Stegostoma tigrinum: one gene and its partner. The protein of the gene in region 1 purifies or fractionates together with the protein of each later gene. This does not show direct contact. Links are inferred from orthologs where the notes say so. Each region holds a gene or a part of one and is shown on either strand. Other genes may lie near its edges.

The links.
Region 2: the proteins of mad2l1bp (region 1) and lbr purify together in Homo sapiens (co-immunoprecipitation; 3 studies listed by BioGRID and IntAct, counting the BioPlex papers as one, with this or other methods). This does not show direct contact. The link is inferred for Stegostoma tigrinum from reciprocal best matches to the Homo sapiens genes MAD2L1BP and LBR.

What each region holds. Positions count from the first base shown.
Region 1 is NC_081357.1:7,176,089-7,188,183, reverse strand, and holds the start of mad2l1bp (MAD2L1-binding protein), read left to right. Parts: upstream 1-7,451; 5' UTR 7,452-7,452; coding exon 7,453-7,677; intron 7,678-10,189; coding exon 10,190-10,714; 3' UTR 10,715-12,095. Other genes in the region: dnph1 (2'-deoxynucleoside 5'-phosphate N-hydrolase 1), read right to left, coding at 2,494-2,604, 5,118-5,189, 7,089-7,254. UniProt on the Homo sapiens protein: May function to silence the spindle checkpoint and allow mitosis to proceed through anaphase by binding MAD2L1 after it has become dissociated from the MAD2L1-CDC20 complex.
Region 2 is NC_081357.1:3,562,321-3,574,164, reverse strand, and holds the start of lbr (delta(14)-sterol reductase LBR), read left to right. Parts: upstream 1-6,778; 5' UTR 6,779-6,921; intron 6,922-11,844. UniProt on the Homo sapiens protein: Catalyzes the reduction of the C14-unsaturated bond of lanosterol, as part of the metabolic pathway leading to cholesterol biosynthesis.

The DNA of each region.
Region 1 (12,095 bases):
ACACCATGGAATTGAACACGCAGGCAGTCTTTTATGGACTGCAGGAGATGGACTGGATGTTCATGGTTCATACTGTCAGCTGGAAATAAGCCAGGGTACAGAGCTGTTTAATGTCTTTCAAATAATGGACTGTCACTTAGAATAGAGCTTTCAGAAATTTTCACGTTGCAGCTGTACAAAACTCTGGTGCGGCTGCACTTGGAGTATTGCGTACAGTTCTGGTCACCGCATTACAGGAAGGATGTGGAAGCATTGGAAAGGGTGCAGAGGAGATTTACCAGGATGTTTCCTGGTATGGACGGAAGATCTTATGAGGAAAGGCTGAGGGACTTGAGGCTGTTTTTGTTAGAGAGGAAGGTTAAGAGGCGACCTAATAGAGACATACAAGATGATCAGAGGATGAGATAGGGTGGACAGTAAGAGCCTTTTTCCTCGGATGGTGATGGCGAGCACAAGGGGACATAGCTTTAAATTGAGGGGTGATAGATATAGGAGAGGTGTCAGAGGTAGGTTCTTTACTCAGAGAGTAGTAAGGGCGTGGAATGCCCTGCCTGCAACAGTAGTAGACTCGCCAAGTTTAAGGGCATTTAAATGGTCGTTGGATAAACATATGGATGATAACTTTCCGTGTAGGTTAGATGGGCTTCAGATTGGTTTCGCAGGTTGGCGCAACCGAAGGCCGAAGGGCCTGTGCTGCGCTGTAATGTTCTATGTTCTATATAGGGAGCATGTTTAATCAGTTGACAAATTACACCAATTTTGGTGGTATCATGGGCAGCGAAGGTGGTTACCCAAGAATAAAACAGGATCTGGATTAGCTGGGCCTGTGGGCCAAGGAATGGAATTTAATTCAGATAAATGTGAGGTGTTGCAATTTGATAAGATACAAAGGCAGGACTTACAAAGTTAATGGTAGGGCCTTGAGGAGCGTTGCAAATCAGAGAGATCTAGGGGTGCAGGTGCGTAGTTCCTTGATAGTAGCGTCATAGGTAGACAGGGTGGTGAAGAAGGTGTTTAGCATGCTTGGCTTCAATGTTCAGAGCACTGAGTACAGGAATTAGGATGTCATGTAACTGATCTACAAGACATTGGTGAGGGCATATTTGGAGTACTGCATTTAGTTCTGATCACCTTACAATAGGAAAGATACTATTAAATTGGAACAAGAAAAATAATTCAGAAAAGATTTACAATGATGTTTCCAAGGCCCGGGGGTGGGGGTGTGGTGGTGGTGGTGGGGTGGAGGGGCAGTGTTATGAGTCATAAGGAGAGGCTGGAACTTTCTTCTCCCCTCCAGCACAGGAGACTGAGGTTTAGAGGTTTATAAAATCATGAGGGGCAAATAGAAGGTGAATAGCCACGGTATTTCTCCCCAGGGTAGCAGAGTCCAAACTAGAGGGCATTGGTTTAAGATGAGAGGCAAAAGATTTTAAAGAAACCTGAAGAGCAACTTTTTCATACAGAGGATGGTGTGTGTATGGAGCGAGCTGCCACAGGAAGTGGTAGAGTCGAATACAATTACAAAATTTAAAAGACATTCGGACAGGTACGTGGATAGGAAACGTTTAGAGGGATATGGGCCAAACGGACCTAGTTCAGTTTAGGAAAACTGGTCAGCATGGAAGAATTGGGCCAAAGGGCCTGTTTCCATGCTGTACGACCATGACTCTCTGTGTTTGCTGACAGAAGCTCACAATTCTGGGTTTTGATAGAGGACGGGTACCTGGAATGCAGTTTACTGCTGAAGGAACAATTTTTCAATCGTTTTTACAGCACTTTGTGGCTGAAAACAAGAAGCAGAGTTGGCTTGAAAAGCTTTGGGAGGGCAGTTGGATATCTACCAGCAATCTGAATAAGGAGTGAGGGATCCATAATCATGAGGTCTACAAAGAAACAGGGTGGGGATGTGCTACCATATGACTAATGGAAGAATACAATCTAATAGATAGAGTTTTACAATGATATGACTGGAATGCAAAGGAGAAATAAAACAAATTCTGAATGATGTTTATAATTTGCCTGTGTACAGCAAGACCTGTTAAAAAGATGTGCAATGAAATGGTGCAACACTGCCGGTTGATTGAGAGCATCCAGATTTCCTCTTTCAATGTTAATGGTTTCTAATAGGATTGTAACAAGGTTGTCAGCAGTGGGTCAAGGTGGCTCACCATTACCTTCCTGGTGACAGTTAGCATGGGCAATAAATGGTCGTCTTGCCTACATCTTGAGAACAAGTTAAAAAACAGGTAATCTTGAGTTTATAAGTCTTGTGCATTTTGAGTATAGGAGCTACATTTATGTAATTACTTGTTCTAAATTATGTAATTTGTCAGGGAGCTGTGTCCATCATTAGATTGTAAAGCAAACCAGATTGGTTCAGCAGGCCAATTTATCTTTACTACTGGTCCATCTACTTTCCATATTGAGTAACATGTACCAAGTCCTTCAATACACGTTAGAAGATTTCCCATTGTTTAAGTTCCAAATACTTACTATATTTTGATGATGATCTGAACAGACACAGAATATTCTTGTTCATAGCTACAGCCCTTCCAATTTCATAACCAACACCCAAGGAAGGTTGGGTAACCTCTGCCACTATTACTGTCAAGGAGAAAAACATTTCATCATTTAGAAGAACCTAACCATCTATGTAAATTAGAAAGCAGTGCATAGAAATTAACCATCATCCCTCACAGGGGCCACTGAATGGGAGCTGCAGCAAGGCACATTCGGATAAAGGAAGACACAGCAGAGAAGTGTGGTATGCAAAAGATTCCAGATTAGAAAATACAATACCCTGTGAATGGAAGCAGCAAGTTACACACTAGACTTTAAATATACGGACGTTGGAGTCTAAAATGGAGAAATTAAAGGTCATCTATTTTTGATGCAAGAAAAAAGGATCAACAATGTTGGAAATGGTGTTGGACTGTGGAACAGCAATGGGGATTCTGGAGTCCAATTGTACATCAGTAAGACAAGGGATTGGGTACAAAGAGCAATGAAATAGCTAATGGGACGTTAGTCTTCCTTTAAGAAATAAAGGAACACGGAATAAAGAGCAGACCATTCCGCTCCTTGAGCCTGTCCTGCAATTCAGTAAGATCATGGCTGATCTTCTACCACTTCCAATTTCCCCCATTCTCAAAATCAATCAGCCTCTCTACTGAATAAACCTAATACCTGTGCATCAACAACTCGGGAAGAGAGCAATCTGCAGATTAACAACCTTTTAAAGTGGAGAGATTTCTCATTAGCTCAGTCTGAAATGCCTGATCTCTTATTCTGGAATTATGGCCCAGTAATCAATTCCCAAACGTGTCCATTTTGTGATGCCACTTCGAGGTCTGAACATTGTCCAGGCCATACTGGGAATGGCTGGGGTCAGGTGCTGGCATCTAATCTCCAAGGGCAGGATTGTGCCATCGATGCCTCAGGGCTGGTAGCCCACTTGAGCCATAGCTCTAGATTCTCCAGGCAATCGATCAGTTTTCTCATTCTTCACGCTGCCTAGCTCCTCCGGTACGTCATACAGAATCCCTACAGAGTGGCCTGCTGAGTTCTCCAAACAGCATCCCACCCAGGCTCATCTCACCCCCACCTATCCCTGTAACTCCATATTTCCTATGTGTAACCCACCTAGCCTGCACATCTCTGACCACGATGGGCAATTTAGCATGGCCAATCCACCAAACCTGCACATCTTTGGACTGTGGGAGGAAATCCATGCAGATACAAATAAAATGTGCAAACTTTACACAGACATTTGCCAAGGCTAGAATCAAACCTTCATCCCTGATGCTGAGGCAGCTGTGCCAACCGCTGTCAATGTGCCATCCTACATGTTTCAATTAAATCACCAGTTGTTCTTCTCAACACCTGAAATAAAGGCCTTATGGAGTCATTCTCTCCTCATAACTCAACTGTAATTTCTTCACTGATCTGATGAACCTTACACACGCTGTCTCTACAGCAGCTAGACCTTTCCTGACTGAAGGAGACCAAAACTGCACACAGTACTCTAGAAGTGACTTCACCAATTCCTCCAACTCCACAGCTTACATGTCGCTCCAAAGGAGGAAGGGATCATTTCTGAAGAAGGGTCTAGGCCCGAAAAGTTAGCCTTCCTGCTCCTCTGATGCTGCTTGGCCTGCTGTGTTCATCCAGCTCTACACCTTGTTATCAGAGATATCTCCTGCACCATTTTCTTTAAACATATTCATGGGATACGGAAGTCTCTAGCTTGGCCAGCATTTACTGCCCATGCTTAATTGCCCTTGAGAAGGTGGTAGTGAACTGCCTTCATGAATCAACTGCAGTTAGAAGGGAATTCCAAGATTTTGACCCAGCGACATGGACGGAATGGTGATATATTTCCAAATTAGGATGGTGAGCGACTTAGAGTAGAACTTATAGATGGTGCTGTTCCTGTACATCTGCTTCCTTTGTTCTACTAGATGGAATTGATTGTGGGTTTGGAAGGTACAAGTGCTGGCTGACTGAACGTTTTGAGTCCATTATGACTCATCTTCAGAAACAGACATCATTTTGTTTCTCTATCCACTGATGCTACCAGACTTGCTAGGTTCACCAGCATTTATGTGTTTGTTTCAAGCCATAGAATTTTGCTTTTATTTGTGGGTTCTGGAAGGTGCTGACTAAGGAGCCTTAGAGAATTCCTGCACTTCATCTTGCCAGTTACCATCCCAAACCAGGGTATTGTCCAGGATATTACCGCAAAGAGGTGAACTACTTCAGTATCTGAGGAGCTGTGTTCCTATTGACTCCAGTTTTTCTAGGGCTCCTTGATGCCAATCAGTAAAAATCAAGTCTGCCCTTGATGTCAAGGACAGTCACTCTCACCTCACCGGTTTTTTGTACATGTTTGAACCAAGATTGTAATGAGCTGAGAGGTCTTGGCATAGCCCAAACTGGGCATCAGTGAACAGGTTATCACTGAGCAAATGCTGCTTGATAGTACTGTTGCTGACACTTCTATGACTTTACTGCTGATCGAGAGTAAACTGACGGGGTGGGAATTTGCTGGTCAGTTTTGTGGCTGTCCTGGGACAGCTTGGCTAGGGACAGAGCATTTATTTACAAACTAAACTCACCATCAGCCTCCTGTAGCCACTTCAAATCTCGATCGTGGATATATTTATCTCCAGACTTTACTCCATCTTCGCCTGCCAATTACCCAATAAAGAATGAATACTAAGTTTCAAATCAATTAAAATACACGAGCAAGCTGACTAATTTCACCGAAAGACTAGCACATCCAATTATAAACAAGTGGTCCTTCATTTCCTTTTCACTAAAGGAAAAATCACCCCGAGCTGCCTCACGCCCACTTTCTCACTCATTGGTGCTGTTCATCCTTGCCATCACCTACACAACTACAGTGTGTGTGTCTCTCTCAAGACCTAACGCACACTCCTGCCCCAAATCCTGACAATGCAGCTCAGTTGACGCCACTCTTGTCTGTATTGCATGGTTCCACTTGACAGATCACTGGACAAAGATAACTCTCGAGTGCAATACCAAGCAGATGTTGCATTATCAGAGGTCAAAATGTTTCTGGCAAGTGGTGGCCATATCAGCAACCTCATTAATAGTGCACAAGCCATTTGCTCACCATGTAAGCTTCATGCTGAAATACAGTGCATGATAGTCATCCTGTAAGATGATGGCTAGACTGTCCAATAATTTTCCATTTCAGATTATACAAACTCATCCGTGGTCCTGCAAAATTCCCAGTCTACATCAGATTTCCCAGGATGTGTAAAGAATGTCAAAGTTTTGAGTAGCAGATTCAACTAGCTGTTTGAAGCTGCTACTGTGCAGTAGAAACACAACTGATGTTCATCACTAACAGGATGCTGTTGTCAAGCCAAAAAGAGGTTCTTCCAATCACACAAGCCATCAATGTGGTATATGAATTTCAGTGCCAGCGTGACGGTAAGTACAAAGGCTGAACATAGTAACTTCCTCCAGCTGTTCACAACAAGGTACCACTGCAGCAACCAGCCGACATTTGTCGGCTAAGACTGAAATTAAATAACATTTGCTAAATAATCTTGAGTGGGCAGAAAATTAAAACCACAACAAAACTGGGATTGCCGGTCAGCACAGTGTATTTCCATGTGATAGAAGCCGCCATCTATTAATACACTGGACCATGTTCTTTGCAGAAAGATCACACACATGCACTGTGCCTGTTCCAACTCAAAAAAGTGACAGTGATGGGGGGTGGGGGTTGTTGATGAAAGGAGAGACACCCCCTCTCTCCAGCTTTCCTCTCTTTTTCGCTTTTCCCCTTCTCCTCCTCCTCTCTCTCCCTCAATTCCCCTTCCCAGTTCATCACAAAAATCAGCCTTTAACTCATTGACTCCATCTACACTTTCTGCTGCCTCAGGACAGCAACCAACACAATCACAGACCCTTCCCACCCCAGTTATACTCTTGTCCATCTGGCAGAAAATAACAGTTTGCACACGTATATAAATAGATTCAAGAACAGCTTCTTTTCAGCTGTTATTCGACTTCCGATGTGGAGGTACCAGTCTCAGCCTGGGGTGGACAAAGCCAGAAGACACCAGGTTATAATTCAAAGATGATAAAATGTGAGGCTGGATGGTTATAATTCAACAGGTTTACTTGAAATCACGAGCTATCAAAGCAGTGCTCCTTCATCTTCACTTCACCTGACGAAGGAGCCGTGCTCTGAAAGCTTATGATTTCAAATAAACCTTTTGGCATGGTGTGACTTCTGACATTAAGCTTCTGAATGAGCCTCTCAAACATTAAATTTAACGTCAGTCTCGCTCTCTGTGCACTTTGCAGCTGTAACATTGTACTCTGTTCTCTTATCCTAATGCACATTGTATGGTATGATCTGCCTGTACTGCACACAAAATAAAAACGTTTTACTATATCTAGGTGACAATAATAAAACAAATCCTCTCAAGCGGGGACCCTAAAACGGACATTTTCTCTAAAGCTCACCCTAGAAGTGGGTCATTCACTCAGTAATTTCTTCCTCCAACCTCCCCGCGCTGTCTCTGCCACCAAACATTTTCAATCACCTTTCTCCACTAAATCCGGGTTGCCGATATGCTCAGTAAAAACGCGTCCAAATTTCTTCAAGTAGTTGATAATCCGACAGTAAATGTCCACATCCTGCCTCCCACCCCTGATGCTCCCACAAAAATAAATGCCGAGACCCATGCTGCCACTACGCTCTCCACGCATGCACTTTTCCTCTCTCCCTAAGACGCTCACAGCCGTTGCCAATATTAAAGATGGCCCCGCACAACCGCAGCACGCTCAGTATTTTTAAACACGGGTGCGCCAGTATGAAAGATCGCGACAGGAGCGGGAGATTCAAATCGAAAATAACGGTCAGGGAGCTGGTGGGGTTGCGTGTGCGCAAGCGCAGTATGGCTAAAGATGGCGGCTGTGGCCGGGCAGTTGACGATGGCGGTCGATGGTAGTAGGGAAAGTCGCTCAGAGCGGGAAGGTGATGAATTACCAGTTCTGTTCCCTGGACTGGTGAGTGCGGATAGCTGCTGCCGACTGGTGTGTGAGCTCCTGAAACATGTCCTGTACCAGAGGCAGCAGTTACCACTCCCTTATCAACAACTGGCTTTCTTCAGTCGGACTGACTCTGGCCTGGTGAGTAAAACTGCTCCGTCACTATCATCCTCAAATGGATTGGGGCTAGGAAGGGCAATTGGCTGCAGTAGTCTGCCCGCTGTGCCTCCCTTTCGTTGAATTGAGATCGACAGCACAGAAGACAGCCATTCGGTCCATCGTGTCATCAAACACCCATCTATTCCCATTTTCCCAGCATTTGACCCGTAGAGATGGCGTCTCATATTCTTGATGGCTCATGCGTGTACCACCCTCTCAGGCTCTGAGTTCCAGATTCCCACCACCCTCAGTGAAAAAGACTTTCCTCAAATCCCTTTTAAACCTCCTGTCCCTTGCGTTAATGCTGCAGCACCCCCCTCCCCCATCCCCAGTTATTACTCTCCCTACTAAGGGGGAAAAGGCTTGGACATCTTAGTCTTTTCTGTTTGAAGGAAAACAAGCCTAGTATATAAATTTATAATACATGTATTAATCTTCTGCAGTCTCTCTAGTATAATAACTTGCCTCCTATACAATGGCAACTAGAACTGCATTCAATATTCCGGCTATGCCCTAAGTAGCTAGGGAAGAAATAGTAGAATCCTTTTATCGGATGTTTGTACCATTAATAGTCAGGGATGTGGTGCAAGAAGACTGGATGGTAACTAATATTGTGACATTATTTAAGAAAGACTTGATTACAGTTCACAGTTAATGGGAACTGCAGATGCTGGAGAATTTGAGATAACAAAGTGTGGAGCTAGATGAACACAGCAGGCCAGGCAGCATCTCAGGAGCACAAAAGCTTTTCTGATGAAGAGTCTAGGCCCGGAATGTCAGCTTTTGTGCTCCTAAGATGCTGCTTGGCCTGCTGTGTTCCACATTTCGTTATCTTGGTTACCGTTCAGCGGGTCTGTTTGAAAACACAAGCTTTCGGACCCTCAGTCCTCCTTCAGGTGTTAGTGAGAAAGGTAGTATCAGACACAGAATTCATAAGTAAAAGATCAAAAGTTCACACCATTGAGATTGTATTAAACAAACAAGATTTAGTCAGTTCGAAGATCTTAATTGATTAATATATATGTCTAAATCCCTGAATTCCTTTCAAGTCACGGTCCTGAGAGAACCAAAGATTTATCAGTGTAAAAAAAGTCTGACCTAAAATGTCACCTCTTCTTACAGTAGACTTAGAAGATTGCATTCAGTTCTGGTCACCACATTACAGGAACGATGTGGATGCTTTGGAGAGGGTGCAGAAGAGGTTTACCAGCATGCTGCCTGGAGTACAGGGTATGAGCTGTAGGAGAAGTTAGAAAAAGCTCCAGTTGTTGACTCTAGAGCGGCAGAGGCTGAGGAGAGATTTGCTAGAAGTCTATAAAATTACGAGATGCATTGATAGGATTTGACAGTCAAAGTCTTGTTTCCAGAGTTGAAATCCCTATTAAAAATGGGCATGCATTTAAGGTGAGAGGAGAAAAATGCAAAAGGATTATAAGGTTCAGGTTTTTTTCTCATTGCGGTAAGAGTGTGGAACCTGCAGGAGTGGCAGTGGAGGCAGATACAGTAGGGCCATTTGAGAGATTTTTATAAAAGCACATAAATGTACAAGGAATAGTGGGATTGGACCAAGGGCAAACAGAAGGAATTGGCATCACATTTGGCCCAATATTGTGGGTCAAAGCTCCTTGTTCTATGTATATCAATATGTTCTAGTATATCAATATATCTGGTATAACAATACTGTACTATGTATCTTTGCCTTAAAAAATTAAGATTCTGCATCCACTGCCTTTTTAGGAAGGGAATTCCAAAGACATTCAGTTCTTGGATAACAAAGTCTGGAGCTGGATGAACACAGCAGGCCAAACAGCATCTCAGGAGCACAAAAGCTGACGTTTCAGGCCTAGACCCTTCAAATGGTTTTCTGATTTGTTTTAAATGGATGACTCCTTATTTTAAAGTTTCATTCTTAGTTCTAGATTCATAAAGATATGCAGCATGGAAACAGACCCTTCAGTCAACTTGTCCATGCCGACCAGATGTCCAGTATAAATCAGGTCCCATTTGCCACAAGAGGAAACATCCTTTCAATACCCACCCAATCAAGTCCCCTCAGGATCTAGTATGTTTCAGTTAATTGACTCTTTCAAACTCCAGAGGATTTTGGCATAGCCTGGCCTCAAAGGCTTATTTCAGGTATTAGCCTAGTAAACCTTCTGAGATCTACTTCCAGTGTGTTAGCATCCTTCCCTTAGTACAGTGACCAAACATGTACGCAGTATTCCAGATGTGGTCTCACCAATACCCTGTTTAACTGAAGCGTAACCTCATTACTTTTGTATTCAACTCCACTCACAATAAACCATCACATTTTATTTGCTTTCTTCATTACTTACTGCACCTGAAAACTAATGTAACAAACAGCAGTGTCATGACATTCCCAGCTATTAACCGTTAGAGAAATGTCATTCTGCTGAGTTTGGAAAGTGGGGATAAAGATTCCCCATGATACAGGCTTGTATATTGAATTATCACATTGTTTTTACTCTCCTAGGCAGACAGTTCCACATTGCCACATTCAAGAAGAAATGAACAGAATAATTGCAAGAAATTTCAGAGGGTACTGTCTGAGCTCAATGAGATTTTCCAGAATTTGGAGGCAATGTTCATGCTGACACTGGTTCCTTGTGTGCATATTCTGTTGGGTGGTAGTATTGTTAATCCAAAGGAAATGTATGAGATCAACATGGAGCGGATTGTCTTTGGCAGCACTGAGGAGAGCTTGAAAACAGTCTCTTGTATCCGAAAACTTTTCCACACTCTCTTTGTCAAGGACATCTTTAACGAATTGAAATCCATTCCTTTGATGAACACTGTGCTACTTGTCCAAGGACACAGGGATTGTGGAGTTCAGTGGTTTCGACCCAAACTTAACTACAGAATTCCAAACCGCACCAGGAAGCTGGTTATTAACCTGGCATGTGATACAGTGAACTTTACATCAACTGAGCAGCCGAGTTATAACCATGATGACTATATCTGGTTTCAAGCACCTATAACAATCAAGGGATTTCATTAATTAATGTATAAACCTTTTTAATAGTAGGTGCCACTTTCTGCAATATTTAGGTGGTACATACTTTTTAAATTATAAGGACTGGACTTGAATAGCCTATTATTTCAATTTGGAGGAAAAATAGTACAGTTGTAAGTTTTTATCTCAATTGGGCCTGTCTGGGTGACCCTTCCCATTGGAAGGAGATATTAATCATGATACTAGACATTAGGTTAGAGGTAAGGATTTGGTAACATATCAAATTGCCAAATTGGATCAGAAAATGTGAGGTAATTGGTTTTAAGTGGAAGATAATAGTGACTAGGCTGTCAGTAAATTAGTTAGGAATTACATTGCTCAATAAAGGTAAAGTCACCCTTGTCTTATTGGTAAATAGGGCTGCTTTCTCATTCGAGAGAGACAACTGGTGGTTAACCTGAGAGTTACCAAGCCTAAGCATAGGGAGAGATTGAGAAGCAGAGTCCTTTGTGGTAACCTTTGGTCCAAGAATTGAGCCCAGACTGAGGACACTACTGCATTGCAAACTGAGCTAACATTGGCAAATAAGCAGAAAGGGTCAGAGTGCCTGATTTGGTCAATGATAGTTGGTCTTTGTATCCTTGGTCTAAAATTGGGAATAAGCTCTAATTTCTTCTCTTGAAAGCTATCCAGAGGAACTGCTTTGAACCAATCTATAACTGCCCTGTATGAGGGCAGCATGAGAGTCAAGGTCCATAATGATAACTGCTCCTGTAGAAACTAAGAGGAGTAGGCCATATGAGCTGTGCAACCCCTTCCACCATTTTAATAAAATCTTGACTTAGCAGCTCTGCAACCCCAGATTCCTTCCAATCTCCTATTTCTTGATTCCGTTTATGCTGTTGACACCATCACCATTTAAAATTTTTTTTCTCACGTTTGGCTTGGAACTGAGTTACAGTTGAGAATTGAACTTTGAACTTCAGCTTACTTTGTTTAAAAAAAGGGAAAGAACAAAAGACTGATGTTTTCTATTGGAAATTGGTCTAGAAAAATAATGCAGGTTAGGTACTGCTCTAAGAACACTATAGACAAACTCACATCAAAGTGTTATAGAACATTACAGCACAGTACAGGCCCTTTGGCCCTCGATGTTGTGCCGACCTGTCATACTGATCTCAAGCCCATCTAACCTACACTATTCCAGATACGTCCATATGCTTATGCTTATGGACTGGCAGTGAGTTGAGTGTTGAATTGGTCAAGGGAGAACTGGTTTTGGCCTGCTAACTGCAGACAAGATTAAAAAATAAAGAGAAAACAAAGAGTAAATTGGCTGTGACCAGACAGGATGGAGGCAGTATTGCTTCAGAAGCTATCGGACTGGGAATCTTTTTTTTGTTCTGTCTCGTTATCCTCCAGTTAT
Region 2 (11,844 bases), about 3.6 Mb from region 1:
TCCAAAATTAATGGAGCAACTGTCTTATGAAGAGAAGTGAAATGTGTCTTGGCCATACAAATTCGAGGTTAGAAGAATGAAAGTCAATTTTACCGAAGTATATAAGGTTCTCAAAGGACTTGACAGATGATGTGGCAAGGTTATTTCCCATTGTGGAAGAGTCTTGGACCACAGAGCATAATCTCAGAATAAGGGTTGCCCATTGAAGACAGAAATGAAGTGGAGTTTCTTCTCTGAGAATAGTAAATCTGCAGAATTCTTTATCACAGAAGGCTTTCCAAAGCTGTCATTATATATATTCAAGCTTGGGGTAGACAGTTATTTATCATTAAGGGAATCATTAAGGGTTATGGGGAAAAGGAAGGATAGAAATTGAGGACTGTCAGATTGTCTATATTCTGCTTGAATGGTGGAGCAGATTCAGTGGGCTGAATGGCCTATATCTGCTGCTGCATTTTATGGTCTGTTTCAGTCGGATGAAACTAATGCACCTCATGAATTCAAAAATGTAATTTTTGATGCGCCAGTTCGCAGTAATTGCACATGGTCATGAATATGTTGCATGAATGCATTCACCTCAGCAGCAAATATGAAAATCACCCGGAGAACATTTTCCATAATGGGATTGGGTTTTTTGCACTCAGTATGTTCCACCCTCATTTCAAGATCTCCTGGTGTTTTGGTAAGCATTTGTAAAATTCCGTCTTTGCTTTTGTAAACTAATAATAGCATTGATATGCACTGTTGGTTCAAATGCTGCTTTAGTCATCCAATTTCCAAGTCAAGATGTTGATGACTTGGAGGGGAACTTGCAGGTAATGCAAAAAATTGCTTGATAACACTGTTGATGACACCTTCCATCAGTTCACTGACGATCAAGAGTAGACTGATGGGGTGGGAATTGTCAGTAATTGGCACTTTTGTATCAACCCACCATTTTCCTCCATAATTGTTTCTAGAGGTTCAGTGATCACCAGTGTAAAACCAATTGTTCGGTAATTGCTGGGCCATTCTTCACATTTCTTTTGAATAAGAGCATTAAGTTTGCAAATCTCCAACATCTGGCACCACCCTGAATCCAGTCAAGACTGAAAGATAATTGCCAGTGCTTCTGCAAATTAACACTATCAGTTTCTTCAATATCCTTAGATTCATCTCATTGAGTCCAGTGCCTTATCGACTTTAGGCACTGGCAGCTTATCTAATAGCCATGCTGCATCTTGACAAATGTGATGCCTTGTCTCTACTATTTAACTGAAATTCCTCCCAACTTCCCTGGCTATATAATTTGTAGGAATACTAGTCCAGCACAGTTTAGGTGTCGAATGTCCCAAAGATATAACACACACTTTCCCCAAAACTGATACCAGTGGCCACTTCTCTGACACCAGTTTCTGAGCCATGTATTCATCTTAATTTTATGTGCCCTATGCCAATTTGCAAATGGCTCAGATAATAATCCAGAGACTATATTTGAAGTTCCCATTTTCAACATAGTACCCCAAACCCCGTACTCTCTATATAGGACCCTCTTTTGTTTTATCTATGTCAATGGTACCTACATTGAGCATGATAACTGGATCCTCTATCTCTCAATGCAAGTTCCTCTCTAGCCCATCATCTTTGGCACCTGGCAGGCAACATAGTTCTTTGGACTCACGTTCTTCGCGCAAAGAACTGAGTCATTTCCCCTCATTAAACTGTCATCTACTATCACAATATTTCTTGTTTCACTTCCCACTTGAATGGCTTCCTGTAACACAGTGCTAAGGTCAGTTTGCACATGCATCGTGCAGCCACAGACATTGGGTGTATCTCAACCATACTGGGCAATTAGAGAGGCTGGGAGTGGGGAAGTATGCAGCAGCCAGAATCACCATGAAGCAGATCGAAAGGAATCTGCAGCAGCTTGGCACCACTGTATCGTACTGGCAGGATTGAACTGAATTGAATTAGTTTCATTATCACATGTACTCAAATGAATACGGTGAAAAATTCACACTCACCGCATTAAAGCACTATCTCAGGTACAAGATACCTAGGTAGAGATACTTTAAGTTAAAATTCTTAGAAAACTAAAAAAAATTAGAAAAATAAAGAAATAAATTGCCCAACATTACAAGTCACTGGTATAAATTAGAAAAATAAAGTGAAAGGTTCAGAACATCGGTCTTTTTGACCCAATCCACACTGGTAACTGGTCTCAAGGGAGACATCCGCTGCCTCACCGCACCCTGCACCGGAACCACTGACATATCAATTGTCACACTTCAGGCGCCAACTCTTTGTCACTATACCCACTATGCTGATGCTGCTGAACCCACACTCGCCCTGCAACCATGAGTCCCTGGTTCCACTGTCAGGCCAGGCTGCTGCCAAGCCACAAGTCCCGCTTTGGCTGCAGATGTCACCTTGCTGGTGCCACCATCTTGAAGAGTCTGCTGCCATCAGTGCAGCCATCACCTCTCACTGAAACTTTGCTGCCACTGCTCCCCGAACGCTGGGGGAACAACGTCGCTGCTGGTGCCACTGGCTCCAACGCTGGGGGAGCAACCTTGTTGCTGTTACCATAAGCTTCCTGAATGGCAGGATACTGCAATCACTGTCACTTCTTCCTATTGGCAGAAGAATGTCCCTGTTGCTGCCGCCTCCTATTGCAAGGAGAAGCGATGTCCACAATTCTGCATGCAGCCCACTCTCAGTCTTTGTCAGAGCTGCTGACCAATCCACCACAGAAAAGAAGAAATAAAAGACCAAAAGGAAAGGATAATAAAGAGAAAGAAAACAGCAGAAGCAAGAATAAAGCAAACAAGCAAAGCAAATGGGCCCTAGGCAAGACCCTGAACGCAGCCCTGTTACTCTGCCGCCATCTTACACCAGAAGTACAAGAATGGGTTTGAGTGAGATTCAGAACACAGGAACATAGAAAATAAGAGGATTAAGTCATACAGCCCTTCAAACTGCTAGCTGATCATCCAGTTCAATACCTAGTTCCTGCTTTCTCCACAAACTCTTTGATCCCTTTATCCATAAAAGCAATATCTAACACCTTGAAAACATTGTTTCAGAGACAGTAGAAACTGTAGATGCTGGAGAATCTGAGATAACAAGGTGTAGAGCTAGATGAACACAGCAGGCCAAGCAGCATCATAGGAGCAGGAAAGCTTGATGTTTCGGGCCTAGGCCTGCTGCTTGGTCTGCCTGTTCATCAAGCTTCACACCTTGTTACCTTGAAAACATTCGACGTTTTGGTCTCAACCACTTTTTGTGGGAGAGAATTTCCACAAATTCACCACACCTCATTTCAGCATTGGCTTCCCTGGTCCCTCAGACTGTGACCCCTGATTCTGGACTGTTGAGTCGTACATACTTCCTGAGTTTACCCTGTCCAGTGCTGTAGAATTGTAGGTTTACAAGAACCAAAATACAGATACCTAGTCTACGACTCTGACAGTAAGAGTCAGTGCAGCAGCAGAGTAGTAAGCCTGTGTGTGAACTCTCCCCACAAATCTGTCAGTAAAAGCTCTGGGGGATGAGACCCAGACTGAATTCAATTGAAGCAGCAGCAACCCTGCCAGAATTCAAAAAGGCTGATGCAAGTCACATGAAGCAAAGCAGTGAACTGATTGGTGGGCAGTGGATAGCTATTCTTGTCCACATTAAACCTGTATTAACATAAGAGTTCTACTTATTACTTATTAACAAATTTAATTAACATTCTGAAACAAAAAGAAATAAATTTCTGGAGAAAGTCAGCAGTTCTGACAGCATTAATGTTTCAGCAACCTGTCACAGATGCCTGCCTGACTGCTGAGTTTCTCTGGCAAATTCTGTTTTTGTTTGTTTCAGATCTCCAGAATCTTCAGTTCATTTTTAAAATTAATTTTCTACTTATCTTAAATTTAGGGTAAGAGATTATTTCAACTAAAGCAACTAAACTAATGCTGGGAGCTTGGGCCCCTGGGTTGCTTGGCCCATTGTACGTGGGAAATCTTAGAATACTCCTTGCAAGCTGGATGACCAAATCTGCAGGTAGTGCCACCAGTTACATTAGCACAAACACTGGGTTTTGGAGCTTGAGTGTCAACTGGAGGCACAGTAGTGGTCTTGTGCAGTTGGGAGTATTTTGGTAGCATGTTTACAGAAATGCAGTCAGGGAAGGAAAAGAGGCAGGCAGACAGTCGATGAAGCTCTCAAGTGCAGCTCACTCAAGAAAATTGTTTGTTGGAACACAGTGACAGACATTTAAGGGGGTAACTCATGACACTCAGCAAAAATACATCCCAGTAAGGAGGGAAAATTCTGAGAGGGACAAATCAACTGTGATGGGCAGTAACTAGTGGGGTGCCACAGGGATCGGGGCTGGGAGCCCAGCTATTCGCAATATGTATTAATGATTTGGATGGGGAAATAAAATACAACATCTCCAAGATTGCAGATGATACCAAGTTGGGTGGAAGGGTGAACTCTGATGAGGATGCAGAGAAACTTCAGCATGATCTCAATAGATTGGGTGAGTGGGCAAATCAATGGTAGATACTGTATCATTTGTATACATGTGAGGTTATTCACGTTGGAAGCAAAAACAAGAAGGCAGATTACTACCTGAAAGGCTGTAAATTGAGAGAGGGGAGTGTGCAGTGGGGCCTGGGCATCTTTGTGCAGCAGTTGCTGAAGGTAAGCATGAAGGTGCGGCAGGCAGTAAAGAAAACAAATTGTATGTTGGCCTTCATAGCAAGGGCTTTCAAGTACAGGAGCTGGGCTGTGTTGTTGCAGTTGTAGAGGGCCTTGGTGAGACCACACCTGGAGTGTTGTGTGCAGTTTTGATCTCCTTTTCTGAGGAAGGATGCTCTTGCTCTCGAGGGAGTGCAGTAAAGGTTTACCAGGTTGATTCCAGCAATGGCAGGACTGACGTATGAAGGGAGATTGACTAGGTTGGGATTGTATGTCTGGTGACCCGGCAGTAATGGGGGAAATGAGAGTTACAGAGTGGTAGGAAAGGACAGAAAGAAGAAAAAAAAGAGTATCACAACAATCAAGACTTAGATATTTCAAGGATAACAAAAAGACAAAAGGAAAGGCTGTGCTTTTGAATGCAGCTAGTATTGAGAACAAATTCATACCGTACTCTAAAGTAAACAAACACAAGAAGGCTGGCATGTTGGCCCTTATTTCATGGGGATTTAGGTATAAGAGTAGGGAAATCTTACTGCAACTGTACAAGGTGCTGATAAGACCACTTCTGGGCTAGTGAGCAGTTTTGAGTTCCTTTTTTAAGTGTCATAGAAGATTGACTAAGACCATCCTTGGTATGGAGGGATTGTCTTATGAGCAAAGGCTGAACAGATTTGGACTCTACTCTTTGAAGAGTAGAAGGATGACAGGCAATCTCATTGAGATGTATAAGACTCTTGAAAGGCTTGAAAAGATAAATGCTGAGAGGATAACAAAGTGTAGAGCTGGATGAACACAGCAGGCCAAGCAGCATCATAGGAGCACAAAAACTGACGTTTCGGGCCTGCTGTGTTCGTCCAGCTTTACACACACTTTGTTATCACGGATTCTCCAGCATCTGTAGTTCCTATTATTTTTAATGCTGAGAGGATGTTTCCCTCAAGGGAGAGTTTAGGACCAGAGGGCATAATTTCAGGATAAACAGGCACCAATTTAAGACTGACATAAATACGAATTTCTTCTGTCAGTGTGGTGAGTCATGAACTCCTTGTCACAAAGAGCCGTGGGCTGGGATCCTTGTAAATATTTAAGCCTGAAATAAATGAACTGATGATCAGTAGGGAATCACACGGTATATACAGGAATATTGGATCAGGCATGATCCAACTGAACGTCAGAGTAGACTTAAGGGACTGAACAACTTGCTCTTGTTCCTACTTTTTACAGTGTTGTGGTCTAATCTAAGGCTATCCTCAATATTTACCCACTGACCAATTTACTTATCACATGCAAACTTTGAATCATAATTATGCAACACAGAAACATACCCGTTAGTCCAACCTGTCAATGCTGGCCATAATTGATCACCCTCTTCCATATATAGTAAATTGAAAGAAATACAAATAAAGATCCCAGCCTAAAGTGTTTGGTGCCTGAACAGTCCAAAGGTTCCCCGCAGTAAAAGTCAAGGAGGCATCCTGTGATTTTGTGGAAGGTGTTGGTATGGGAAGGGGAAATAAAATCAGAGTGAGCTCTGGAAAGGTGGCAGGGGAAAGTGCAACTGCTGTTAACACTATGTTAGAGATTATTGTACAACTTAAAGCCCTTACATAACACTTGCCGCTTAATTTCACTCAACCCTATTTTTCACTTCCTTAAAAGTTTGCAATGTTTCCCTTGTAACCATTTCCATTGCTGATGAATGTGACCATTCACCTGAATGTTAACTCCAGTTTTGTTTTATGTCTTTAGATGTGATCTGCTGCCTACGAACCAGCATTTTCTGTTTTTATCTCGGATTTCCAGCATCTGTCGGGATTGCAGAACCTGAGATGATGTGCGTTTAATGGCTGTCACAATTTTCTTCCCACAAGAGGAGTTTTATCTGAACTTTTTTTTCCTCTCTCCGAAAGTGTAAGACGGAGGAAACGGCATAACTTTCGATTGACGCTTGTCATTTCGGCCCGGAACCGCCAACAACACTACACCCGCTTCTGTAAACTCCACCATTTTGTAACGGCCGTTATGATGGAACGCGATCTCGAGTGGCCGAGTTCAGCCAATCCGCGAGCGGCAAGGCCGTGCAAACTCTTCGCTCTGGGCCAATGAGTGGTCTTGGCGCCTTTGTGGAGCTCGTGAGCTGTAGCGGCGGAAAACGAGAACATTTGTATTTCAAAAAAAAACTGTCTTTTTAGATCGTAGGAGAAGAGTTTATTTTGAAGAAAAGATTTAAACATTTCAGCTAAGGTAATGTTTTCTGTATGCTTGATGAGAGTTTGGAAGTAAAAATTATTGTTTTTCTTCGTAAACTTGTTTTATTTGACGTTTTGAGAGGGCGGGCGATGTGTTTCCTCCTGTCAAGTTTCTTCTGAAATGGTGGGTGGAAACAAAATAACGCGTAAAAAAAACCCGAAATGTTCTGCTTTTGAGCGCAAAGACATTTGAGACGTTTTAATCTCCCCGTACCCCACTATTTGCGTTAACGTGACAGGATTTTGATAGTTTTATCTCGGAAAACTGCAAGACCCCAGTAAAGTTTTTTTAAAAACTTGATTTTTCTCTCCAGTTTCAGGTTCAGAACTAAATGCGCTCGTCATCTATATGGTATTTTCTCCGAGTTCTAGTTAACATTTTTGAACGTCTACGGATTTTAAAATAAATATTGAAAGCAAACGGTCTCAACATAGCTTTTTTCTCCTTACCGAAGAGATATTTTTTAAAAAGTTCTACTTTTTTGTGTTTAAGTATAATTCACTTTGCTTTGTTTTCGGTGTTTTTGGACGTTATTCTCTAAGGCTGCTGGATAACAAGTGTATGGGGAGGTACTTCCTGTGCCTCACTGAGCTCAGTTTTTTAAATGCACCTTTATCTTTTCGGCTCACCGCTATTAAGCAAAGTCTATTTCTTTAACTTGCTGTAAACCAGACATCTTTCAAAATATGTATCAGAGATAATGGGAACTGCAGATTCCACTCTCCCTCCCATTCTTTAGATGACATGTCCATCATGGGCCTCCTGCAGTGCCACAATGATGCCACCCGAAGGTTGCAGGAACAGCAACTCATATTCCGCTTGGGAACCCTGCAGCCCAATGGTATCAATGTGGACTTCACAAGCTTCAAAATCTCCCCTTCCTCCACTGCATCCCAAAACCAGCCCAGTTCTTCCCCTCCCTCCACTGCATCACACAACCAGCCCAGTCTGTCTCTGCCTACCTAACGTGTTCTTCCTCTCACCCATCCCTTCCTCCCACCTTAAGCTGCACCTCCATTTCCTACCTACTAACCTCATCCCACCTCCTTGACCTGTCCGTCTTCCCTGGACTGACCTATCCCCTCCCTACCTCCCCACCTATACTCTCCTCTCCAGCTATCTTCTTTTCTCTCCATCTTTGGTCCGTCTCCCTATTTATTCCAGAACCCTCACCCCATCCCCCTCTCTGATGAAGCGTCTAGGCCCGAAACGTCAGCTTTTGTGCTCCCGAGATGCTGCTTGGCCTGCTGTGTTCATCCAGCTTCACACTTTATTATCTTTCAAAATATTGTTATTCAGGATCAAATCGATGCTTCGCTGTACCTGCTTGCTTATTCTTTGCGATGTGGATGTTGCTGGCAAACCCAGAACTTATTGCCCATTTCTAATTGCCCTTGAACTGAATGGCTTGTTAGTTTAATTTGGAGGGTAATTAAGACTGTATTACATTGCCACTGGTGTGCATATTACATGGGCCTGACTGGCAAAGGCTAGGAGACTTCATTCCTTGTAGGGCATTCATGTTGAACAACTTTGGACCAACTTGTCCATTCCAACCACGTTTCCCAAACTAAACTCGTTCTACTTAGCTGCATTTGGCATATATCCTTTTTAAACCTTTCATGTTCATTTACCTGTCCAAATGTATTTTAAAATATTATAACTACCTGCATCCACCACTTCCTCTGGCAGGCCATAGGAACATAGAAGATAGGAGTATAAGAAGGCCATTTGGCCCTTTGAGCCTGCTCCACCATTCATTACGATCATGGCTGATTGTCCAACTCAGAAGTCTAATCCTGCTTTCTGCTCATAACCTTTGATCCCGTTCACTCCAAGTGCTAAAGCTAGCTGCCTCTTGAATACATTCAGTATTTTGATCTCAACTACTTCCTGTGATAATGAATTTCACAGGCTCACCACTGTTTGAGTGAAGAAATGTTTCCTTGTCTCTGTCTTAAATGGTCTTCCCTGAATCCTTAGACTGCAACCCCTGGTTCTGGACTCACCCACCATCAGGGGCATCCACTCTGCATGTACCCTGTCTAATCCTGTTAGAATTTTTATAAGTCTCTGAGACCACCACCCCCCCTCCCATTTCGTCTGAACTCCAGCGAAAACAATTCAAACCTTGTCAGTCTCTCCTCAAAACGTCAGTCCTGCCATCCCTGGAATCAGCCTGGTAAACCTTCTGTGCACTTCCTTGAGAGCGAGAGCATTCTTCCTCAAAAAGGAGACCAAAACTGTGCACAATATTTTAGGTATGATCTTACCAAGGCCCTGTATAACTGAAACAATACATCCCAGGTCCTGTACTTGAAATGTCTCGGAATGAAGGCCAACGTACCACTTGCCTTCTGTACCACCTACTGCACTTTTTATGCTTATCTTCAGCAACTGTTGCACAAGGATGCCCAGGTCCCACTGCGCACTCCCCTCTCCCAATTTACAGCCATTCGGGTAGTATTCTGCCTTCTTGTTTTTGCTTCCAAAGTGAATAACCTCACAAGTATTCAAATTATACTGCATCGACCATTGATTTGCACACTCATCCAATCTATTGACATCATGCTGAAGGATCTCTGCATCCTCATCAGAGTTCACCCTTCCACCTAACTTGGTATCGTTTGCAAACTTGGAGATGTTACATTTTGTTCCCTCATGCAAATCATTAATATGTATTATGACATCAGTCCCCAGTCCTGCCCAGGTGTAACCCGTCCAATTTGAACAGGTACCGCCTCCCCCAGAACGAGTCCCAATGCCCCAGGAGTCTGAACCCCTCCTCTGACACCATCTTGTCATCCACGTTTTCATCCGATATATCCTGTCATTTTAACTCTGACGAGCACCTGTTCGTTCCACGTAAGAGCTACCCTGAATGGAAAAAGTTGCTCCTTGGGCCCCTTTTAAATCTTTCCACTCTTACCTTTAAAAATATGCCTCTAGTTTTAGACTCCCTTACCCTAGCGAAAAGGCTATTAACCTTATCTATGCCCTTGCGATTTTGTAAACCTCTAAGTCATCCCCCAACATACTACACTCCAAGGGGATAAAAGTCCCAACCTCTTACCACTTAGTGGTCTTTTGTGTGCAGAAGTTTTGGCCAGTTTAAACTGTATTTTGAATTGGAGGGGGGTAGCAGGGTGTGAACAGATATAAACAAAGAGGATACCTTTAAGATATATCTCCCCATGTCTGCGTGGGTTTCCTCCGGGCACTCCAGTTTCCTCCCTCAGTCCAAAGATGTGCAGGCTGGGTGGATTGGCCATGCTAAATTGCCCATAGTGTTCAGGGGTGTGTGTAGGTTATAGGGGAATGGGTCTGGGTGGGATGCTGCAAGGGGCGGTGTTGACTTGTTGGGCTGAAGGGCCTGTTTCCACATTGTAGGGAATCTAATATAAATTTGCTGCTCAGTGAGTTTATGATCAATCTGTCAAGACCACCAGACCTTCTAGCCTGGAGGTGGGGACACTATCATTCCCCCAGAAAGTTCCCAGGTTCTGATTGTGTGAACACCTTTTAATCAACTATGTAGATATCAGTAAAGGGCAGGGTGCTATTCTCCATTGTTTGGAAATGCTTGCATCACTTCAAAGTTCAAACTTTACATAGAGAATGAAGGAACAATTGACTTGAAGATTGAGCAGATGAATTAGATCACTGAAAGTAATTTAATCATTATTATATCTTGATTTAAAATTAACAAGAGTGTATATTAGAAGCTATTAGGCTTTTAATTTTAGTTCTAATTGCTCAGACGTTTAAAAGATTAGCACTCTTCAAATATACTTAACTACATTCACTCTTGAAGTTGTAGCCGGCTGACTTGCCTTGCTTCTTCCTACATTTGTGATTTTAGACTTCACTTGCTGTCTGCTTTTGCTCACAACTCACTTTCTTTTTTAAAAACATCTTTTGGGTCAATTTTTGCATGGACTGATGGAATGACACTGGTTTATACTTGAGGTCGCAACTTCCTTTCCAAACAGACACCAGAAAAAGTGTCATACGGACAATAATAGACCACTAGGTCCTTCAAGCCTGATCCACCATCCAAAAAGATTGTGGTTGATCTGATTTCTGTCGCACTTCTACGTTCTTGCATAATCCTGATGATAATCTTTCATACACTTGGTAATCAAGAATCTGCTGTCCAGCCAGCTGAGTTCACTGATACCTGATTGGCGATGCAGTGTGATGCCAGCAGTACAGGTTCACTTCCCCACTGACTGAAGTTACCATTAAGGTCATGCCTTCTCAACCTCATTCCTTGTCTGAGGCATGATGACCCTCAGGTTAAACTACCAGCAACCATCTCTCATTAGAGAGCGCGGTCCTATGATCTTCTGGAAATATGAAGTCTTCAATCAAGAATGTATATACCTATGCCTTGAAAATATATAAAGGTTCTACATCCATTCTGTTTTCAGAAATTATTATCTTAAATGGTGAACCCTTATTTTAAAACTACAACACTGACCAGAAAAGAAAACATCCTTTCACATCCACGCCACCCAGTCGAGTTCCCTTAGGATGTTAAGCTACCTTTGAGTCTTCAGACATTTCAGGCTTTCCTTATAAGGCAAGCTTCTCACCCCAGGTATTAGTCGAGTGAACATTTTCTGAACTGTCTCCAGTGCATTAACATCCTTTGCAGGCACGGTGACCTGTGCTGAACGCAGTATTCCAGATGCAATCTCACCAGTGCTCTGTATAACTGAGGCATAACCTCCCTAGTCTTGTATTCAGTTCCTCTTGCAATAAAGCATAACGTTCTATTAGATTTCCTGACTGTTTGCTGTACTTGCATACTAAATGTCTGTGATTCATGCAGTAGGACACCCAGATCTCTGCATATCAGAGCTTGGCAACATCTTGCCATTAAGAAGATTTTTATTTTCTCTGCTAAAATTG